Cricetulus griseus: one gene and its partner. The protein of the gene in region 1 interacts with the protein of each later gene in a pairwise test. Links are inferred from orthologs where the notes say so. Each region holds a gene or a part of one and is shown in the gene's direction. Other genes may lie near its edges.

What was found.
Region 2: the proteins of Vps52 (region 1) and Nfkbib interact in binary tests that used the Homo sapiens proteins (3 or more experiments, as listed by UniProt). The two-hybrid records come from large-scale screens. The link is inferred for Cricetulus griseus from reciprocal best matches to the Homo sapiens genes VPS52 and NFKBIB.

Annotation. Positions count from the first base shown.
Region 1 is NW_023276806.1:232,050,636-232,054,194, reverse strand, and holds part of Vps52 (vacuolar protein sorting-associated protein 52 homolog), read left to right. Parts: intron 1-891; coding exon 892-1,025; intron 1,026-1,335; coding exon 1,336-1,491; intron 1,492-1,904; coding exon 1,905-2,023; intron 2,024-2,337; coding exon 2,338-2,461; intron 2,462-2,616; coding exon 2,617-2,712; intron 2,713-2,801; coding exon 2,802-2,909; intron 2,910-3,067; coding exon 3,068-3,133; intron 3,134-3,559. UniProt on the Homo sapiens protein: Acts as a component of the GARP complex that is involved in retrograde transport from early and late endosomes to the trans-Golgi network (TGN).
Region 2 is NC_048602.1:7,103,829-7,108,165, forward strand, and holds the start of Nfkbib (NF-kappa-B inhibitor beta), read left to right. Parts: upstream 1-1,481; 5' UTR 1,482-1,560; coding exon 1,561-1,739; intron 1,740-4,245; coding exon 4,246-4,337. Other genes in the region: Sirt2 (NAD-dependent protein deacetylase sirtuin-2), read right to left, coding at 307-353, 1,117-1,132. UniProt on the Homo sapiens protein: Inhibits NF-kappa-B by complexing with and trapping it in the cytoplasm.

The DNA of each region.
Region 1 (3,559 bases):
AGGCTCCACCTCCCTCAAGTCAGGCTCCACCTCCCTCAAGTCAGGCTCCACCTCCCTAATTCAGGCTCCACCTCCCTCAAGTCAGGCTCCACCTCCCTCAAGTCAGGTTCACCTCCCTCAAGTCAGGCTCCACCTCCCTCAAGTCAGGCTCCACCTCCCTCAAGTCAGGCTCCACCCCTCTCAAGTCAAGCTCCACCTCCCTCAAGTCAGGCTCCACCTCCCTCAAATCAGGCTCCACCTCCCTCAAGTCAGGCTCCACCTCCCTCAAGTCAGGCTCCACCTCCCTCAAGTCAGGCTCCACCTCCCTCAAGTCAGGCTCCACCTCCCTCAAGTCAGGCTCCACCTCCCTCAAGTCAGGCTCCACCTCCCTCAAGTCAGGCTCCACCTCCCTCAAGTCAGACTCCACCTCCCTCAAGTCAGACTCCACCTCCCTCAAGTCAGGCTCCACCTCCCTCAAGTCAGGCTCCACCTCCCTCAAGTCAGGCTCCACCTCCCTCAAGTCAGGCTCCACCTCCCTCAAGTCAGGCTCCACCTCCCTCAAGTCAGGCTCACCTCCCTCAAGTCAGGCTCACCTCCTGTCAGGCTCACAGTGGGGATGCCTGGCTCCAGCCCACAGGCCTCTGCTTACCCTGTGTCTGGGATGTAACCTTTGAGGATGTGAGAGAGAGCGAGAGCTCCCCTCCCAGAGGCTCACATCATTCTGACAGTTTTTCACGTGGATTTCGGAGGGCTTGTAGAATCCCTGACGCCCATTACAGGTATCAGGTGAAGCGAGGCCCTGGTTCTGGAAGGGATGTCCAGCTCATATTTAGCTTCCCAGAGTGCTCAGGTCTTGGCTTCATGGCCTGCTTGGTCATTCTCAGTGTTTTCCCTGACTCTGATGCTGTTCACGATTCTTCTCGAAGCCGTCCCTCCGAAGCAGGAACACCATCTTCACCCTGGGCACCCGTGGTGCGGTCATCTCCCCCACCGAACTGGAGGCCCCCATCCTGGTGCCCCATACTGCCCAGCGTGGGGAGCAGAGGGTATGAGGAGGCCCCCTCCGTGGCTGGGGATCAATTCGCCTGCTGCGCTGTGGGGACAGGAGCCATGGGCTTAGGGTGCAGAGGGAGACTGGTCGTGGGGTGGCTGTCATGAGGCAGCAGCTGGAGTGGATGTGGGGATGGCCGCAGCCAGTGGGGTGGGCTTTCCTTGTGTCCTGTGCGCCCCCAGGGTGCCCCTCCCTTCCTGGAGGTGAGGTATGTGTGGGGTCTTCCGAGCTCTGGTTCCTGGGATACACTGAGCCCCCGTATCTGCGGGGTCAGTGTTGGATCCACCCCTCTCTCTGTCCCGTAGTATCCGTTTGAAGCTCTCTTCCGCAGCCAGCACTACGCGCTCCTTGACAATTCCTGCCGGGAGTATCTTTTCATCTGTGAATTTTTTGTTGTGTCTGGCCCAGCTGCACATGACCTGTTCCATGCTGTCATGGGCCGCACGCTCGCCATGACTCTGGTAAGTCCCCGATTCTGTGCTTTTACTCTCCCTTCCCAGGGCTCCTCCACGTCCAGTGGGGTCACAGTGGCAGTATTGAATGCAGGATGTCCCGTTCTACGTTGTCCAAGCCTTTATCTCACAACATGGCCCCCTAGGAAACCCTCAGAACTCGGGGGACCTGCTGCTTCCTCTGTTTCCACAAGCAGAGAGCAAGACCTCTAAATCGCGATCCTTTACCTCCATCCCAGGCTCAGCCCTGGCTTCAACTGTGAGGAGCTTACAGAGTTGAGGCCAGTGAGTAAGTCAGGGCCCCTGGACAAGGAAGGAGGTGTCTCCCTAGCCAGCGCCTTGTCCCCAGAAGTGCACATCCATTTGCTCATAGCCACTGGAACTTCAAACTAGCATTCAGTTGTCTGCCTGCTGTGCCGCAGAAACACCTGGAGTCCTACCTGGCCGACTGCTATGACGCCATTGCTGTTTTTCTCTGTATCCACATTGTCCTCCGATTCCGCAGCATTGCATCGAAGAGGGATGTCCCTGCTCTGGACAGGTCACTGAGCTCTGGTCCTGGTGCCTGCTGGGTCCAGCTTTTTATCTCACACCGACAACTCCACCCTGCCCCTGGCTCCTCCTCACCCGATGTCCTTCACCCTTATCCTGTGTGTGTCCCCAAGGCAGCATCCCTGTCACACACACACACACACACACACACACACACACACACACACACACACACATCCGTGCATACAGACACGGACACACAGGCACACACACACCCGCTCACATTCCCCTGAAGGGTGCTGTGCCCCCATGGCCTGCCAGCACCCGTAGCCTGCTGACCTTTGGTTCTGACTGACCCTGCAGGTACTGGGAGCAGGTGTTGGCCTTGCTGTGGCCTCGGTTTGAGCTGATCCTGGAGATGAACGTCCAGAGTGTCCGCACCACCGACCCCCAGCGCCTCGGAGGACTGGACACGCGGCCCCACTATGTGAGGGCGGGGGAGGATAACAAGGGGTCTCGGGGTCACACGCAGCGGTGGGCTGGCCACTGCAGGAGGAGGGACTGGGGACAGGAGCTGCAGAGGCTGCTGGGAGGTTATGTCGGCCTGGCAGGCTGATGGGCGTCTCCCCTCCTTGGTCCTAGATCACGCGCCGCTATGCCGAGTTCTCGTCTGCCCTTGTCAGCATCAACCAGACCATCCCCAATGAGCGCACCCTGCAGCTGCTGGGGCAGCTCCAGGTGGGCCGGGCGGGGCGGGCAGGCTTCCCAGCATGGGGAGGGGCCCTGGGACCTGTGTCTCTGACTTGCTCTCTGTTTGGCTTTTGCAGGTGGAGGTGGAGAACTTTGTCCTCCGAGTGGCTGCGGAGTTCTCCTCCAGGAAGGAGCAGCTCGTGTTTCTGATCAACAACTACGACATGATGCTGGGTGTGCTGATGGTAATGCTGCCCTCCCCCACGGGGCGTGCCCATGCTCGTCAGCCTCACCAAGGGGGCTTTAGCCCTGGATTCTGGCAGTGTCTGCGGTGTGGTGTGCGATTACAGGAGGTGCTGGGCTGAAGGCTGTTCCCAAGTTCCTCACTCTTTGTCTTCCTTAGGAGCGGGCTGCTGACGACAGCAAAGAGGTGGAGAGTTTCCAGCAGCTGCTCAATGCGCGGACACAGGTAGGGCCTGGGCTTGGCAGGGAGACCTCAGTGTGCAGTCATGGTGACAACTCACTGCCTGCTGCTAGTCTGTCTCATTTAATTTATCAATAAATTAATAACTTAAAAGCAAAAAACTATAACGGTGTATGTATGTGTGTATATAAGTATGTATGTATGTGTGTGTTTACACCTGCTTTGCAGGGCATTATTTGTGTGTGTGTGTGTGTGTGTGTGTGTGTGTGTGTGTGTGTGTGTGTACGTATATGTGAGCGCACTCCCAGGCACATGTTGTGAAACACATGGAGGTCATAGGACAATGTCAGGACTGGGTTCCTTTCTTGCTTCTTCCACTTTGTGTTCTGGGGACCAAGCACTTCTCCCCTCCTCCCCAAGGCCGGCTGCTCTGTGGAGTGTCCCCTCCTAGTCCTCCCAGTCCATGTTGGG
Region 2 (4,337 bases), on another chromosome or scaffold:
GGGATCAAACTAGAAAACCATCTCTTCCAGGCCCAGCACAAATGAGGTTCAGAAAGGGCTGAGGAAAGGGTGGGTAACAGTAAGAAGACAATATGGAAGGGGAACCATATTGGGCATTTTTCCTTGACAGTCCCCAGAAGCCACCATTCCCCAGGAGGCTGTACTAATCCCCAGATGGAATTAGGGACCAGAACCCATAAGCCAAGGACCCTTGGGTAAAAGCCTCCCCTTGCCACCTCCCCCCAGTGTGGAATGTGGAACCAAGTCCATCTCTCTCCTTCCCTCCAACCCGTTTCCCCATCTCACCTGAGCCTCCTGCACCTTCCCTGCCTGGGTCTCCACAGGGTCAGAGGCTGGGGAGGAGGGGGAGCAGACGTGGTTACAGTGGGGGGGGCAGTTAAAGGGATGAAGGATTCACAGTGGTGGAGGCAACGAGAGAACCCACTAACCTAGTTATCCTGGAGTCAGGGACGGTAGTAAAACTGTCGGAGACGGGGACAGGCATATTTTAGAGTGGAAGACACATGTGTGAGGTGGAAAGGCTGAGGGGGAGGTTTAGGAGGAGAAAGCAGGTGCGACAGGACTGAAGGAAGACTTCAGAGTCAGGCAGGACGCGGTAGTGTGAGTGCCAGCCAGGAGAGAGAGGGAGGGCGAAGTTTTTCAAGAGATGGAAATGGGGATACCTCGGCTGGAGTTGAGTGTGGGAGAGGAGATGGAGTGGAGGCAGGAGGTTTAGGAGAGACACAGGAACTGAAGGAATGAGATGGAAAGGGGCAGCAGGGGTTCCCGAACATCCTACAGTTGCCCCTAACACCAGATAACCTTAGCAACCGGGATCGTAGCAACTTTGGTCCTTAGCAACGAGGGTTCTCAGCAACCAAGGTGCGAGAAACGCGATCATTAAGAACTTGGCAAACGGACCCTTCAAGAAATCTCACAACCCAGAATCCCACCAACCTAGCAACACCGACCACTTAGCAACGGCCCTCCAAATCCCACTCCCTTCGTGCAGCCCCTTCCTCCCACCCCACCGAGCCTGTCCTCGGGCCCCGGGGCCTGCAGCCCAAAGCCAGGCCCCGGCGCGGCCCGACCCTCCCACCTGGGCCCCCGACTCACGATCCGGCTCGGCCATGGGAGCGGGGTGGGGGCCCTCGGAGCTGTCACCGACTGCTCTGTCCCGTGACGGCACCGGAAGCAAGAGGGGACCGAGATAGGCCAGAGGACTACAACTCCCGGCAGCCCACGCCGTCCTCAGCAAACCCTTTCGCGCGACGAGCCGCTCGTGGCATAGAACTACAAATCCCAAAAGGCCTGGTGCCTGAAGCCATATTGATAAAGGGCGTCTGGAAAAAGTGGGGAAACTCAGAGAGCCGGCGTGCATCTCATTATCCTGATTGGTTCTGGCGACGCACGGGGGCGGAGCGTAGCCATTTAGCTTGTTTTTATTGGGTAGATGAGGGGGCGTGTTGGGGAATTCCCGGCAGGGCGGAAGCGCTGGAGCTCACCGCAGAGCCCAGCGTCGGGCGGGCGACCACAGGGGGCCACCGAGGTGGCTGGGCCATGGCCGGGGTCGCGTGCTTGGGGAAAAGCGCGGACGTCGACGAATGGTGCGACAGCGGCCTAGGCTCCCTGGGTCCCGACGCGGCGGCTCCCGGAGGACCAGGGCTGGGCGCAGAGCTGGGCCCGGAGTTGTCGTGGGCGCCCCTGGTCTTTGGCTACGTCACTGAGGATGGGGACACGTGAGTAAACCTTAAATTACCTACCAAACGGAGCCCCGGGATCCTACCTGAGCCTCCATCGGCTTGTGATTCTGTGACTTACTTACTACCTTCTGGTTCCTACCCCTGACTTCCGATACGAGCCTTCCTGACCCATACATAACTCCCCCCACCCCCAATCCTAAGTTGTGAGTCTGGTTTCACCCACGGTCAAGCGTCTCGCCTTTCTTGGAACTGTAAATTTGTGCTCCTGGAATCCGCATCCTTACCATGGGTCCCCATACCGCATCTGAACCTTTCCAACCCGGTCCCCCCAGACCTTTCCCACGAATTCTGACCTCTTGCTTCCAAATGTGGCTTTTGATCCGTAGCTACTCTTGTATAAGCCAGATTTTGATTCCCAAAATTAGTCCTTGGCCCTGAGTCTACGACTCTTGACACTTCCAGCATTGATTTGCAATTAAGAAATTGAAGTGATGCCCGGCCGTGGTGGCGCACGCCCTTAATCCCAGCACTGCAGAGGCAGAGGCAGGCGGATCTCTGTGAGTGCAAGACCAGCGTGGTCTACAGAGTGAGTCCCAGGACAGCCAAGGTAGTTAGTTACACAGGGAAACCTTGTCTCAAAAAACAAGACGACAACAGCAACAAGAGAGAGAGAGAGAGAGAGAGAGAGAGAGAGAGAGAGAGAGAGAGAGAGAGAGAGAGAGAGAGAGAGAGAGGAAAGAAAAGAAAAGAAAAAGAGGGGAAAAAGGAGAGGGAGATTGAAAAATAATTGTAAAATTTGACTGGGGAGAAGGGCAGCTGTGGTGAAGGGCTATGCAAGGGATTGTACCCGGGATTTTTTGTCCTTTGTGCTTTTTGCGTGTGCCCAATGACTCAGTGCCTGACCCATGAAGGGAACATAATAAGCACTCTTAAAGAACCAGGTGTAATTTCCTTAATTTTCTTATTTTTCACTTTCTATGTTATTGGTCCTTGTTCCTTTATTATTTTATTCTGATTACTTTTAGATTTGAATTTTGTAATTTTCTTTCTCCTCCTTCCTTTTTTGGGGGGGTCGGGCAGTCTCATGTAGCCCATGATGGCCTTGAGCTTGCTGTTTAGCTGAGGATAGCCTTCAATTTTTCATCCTCCTCTAAAGTATGCATCATTATACTCAGCCAGGGTGTGTGTGTAGACTAGAGGATAACCTTGGGTTGTTTTGTTTTGAGACAGTCTTTCACTGGTCCAGTACTCAACACATCGGCTAGGTTAGCTGGCCGGAGAACCTTAGCTTTTTTCGAGACAGATTTTCTCTGTATTGCTTTGGAGCCTGTCCTGGAGCCTCTCTCTGTAGACCAGGCTGGCCTGGAACTCTCCTCCCCGGTGTTGGATTAAAGGCATGTACCACCAACACCTGGCTGCTTTATGTAATTTGAAGGTTTGTTATTGGAGCCATAGTGTGTGTGTGTGTGTGTTGCTGCCAGTTAAGCCTGAGGTCTTGCACATGTTAGGCAGGTGCACCCCCAACCCACATCCCAGCCCCTGCCCTAGTTTTCCACTTTTTTTGTATTTTGTTTTTTGAGTCAGGCCTTCACTGTGTAGCCTTACACTTGTGATCCTCCTGCCTTAGCTTGGGAAGTACTAAAATTAGAAGCTGGGGCTAGGGCTCTCATACCCAGTTTGTTTGTCTTTGTGTATGTAAGTATGCTTGTGTTTGGAGGCCAGTGATTGGTGTTCACTGTCTACCTCAATTGTTCTACACGTTGTTGTTATTATTTGAAACAAGGTTTCACAATGTAGTCCTGGCTGACCTAGAATTTACCATGCAGACTAGACTAGCCTGGAATTCACAGGGATCCACCAGCTTCTGCCTCTTTCACACAAGCCACCATTTTTGGTTTTGTTTTTGCTTTTGTTTTGTTTTTTGGTTTTTTTGTTTGTTTGTTTGTTTGTTTTGTTTTTTCGAGACAGGGTTTCTCTGTGTAGCGTTGGAGCCTATCCTGGCACTCGCTCTGGAGACCAGGCTGGCCTCGAACTCAGAGAGATCCGCCTGCCTCTGCCTCCCGAGTGCTGGGATTAAAGGCGTGTGCCACCAACACCCGGCTTTGTTTTTTTTGTGACAGAATTGCACTATTTAGTATTTGGCCCTGCTAGTCTAGAACTTACCATGTAGCCCAGTCTGGCCTTGAAGTAACAATCCTTCTGCCTCACCTTCCCCAGGTGCTGGAATTTGAGCTACTACAGGTAGCTAAATTCTTTAAAATAAACACTGGTAAGACAAAGTTGGTAGCTGGACCTGCTGTCACAGGCTTGTCAGCCCAGCTACTCGGGAGGCCGAAGCAGGAAGAACTTGAACTCCCGATCAGCCTGGGTAGTTTATGAAGACCCTTGTCTTATCTCAGAACACCAATCAGGCAGACAAAGGAAGTTGCTGGATTCGCTCCTGTCCCTGGCTCTCCGGGACACTGAAGTGTTTCCAGTTATGGCTACAGTTTGCAGCATACAGTAGACACTCGTGTTTACTGACCTCTGCCTCTGTCCCCAGGGCCCTGCACTTGGCCGTGATACATCAGCATGAGCCCTTCCTGGATTTCCTCTTGGGCTTCTCCGCCGGCACTGAGTACCTGGACCTGCAGA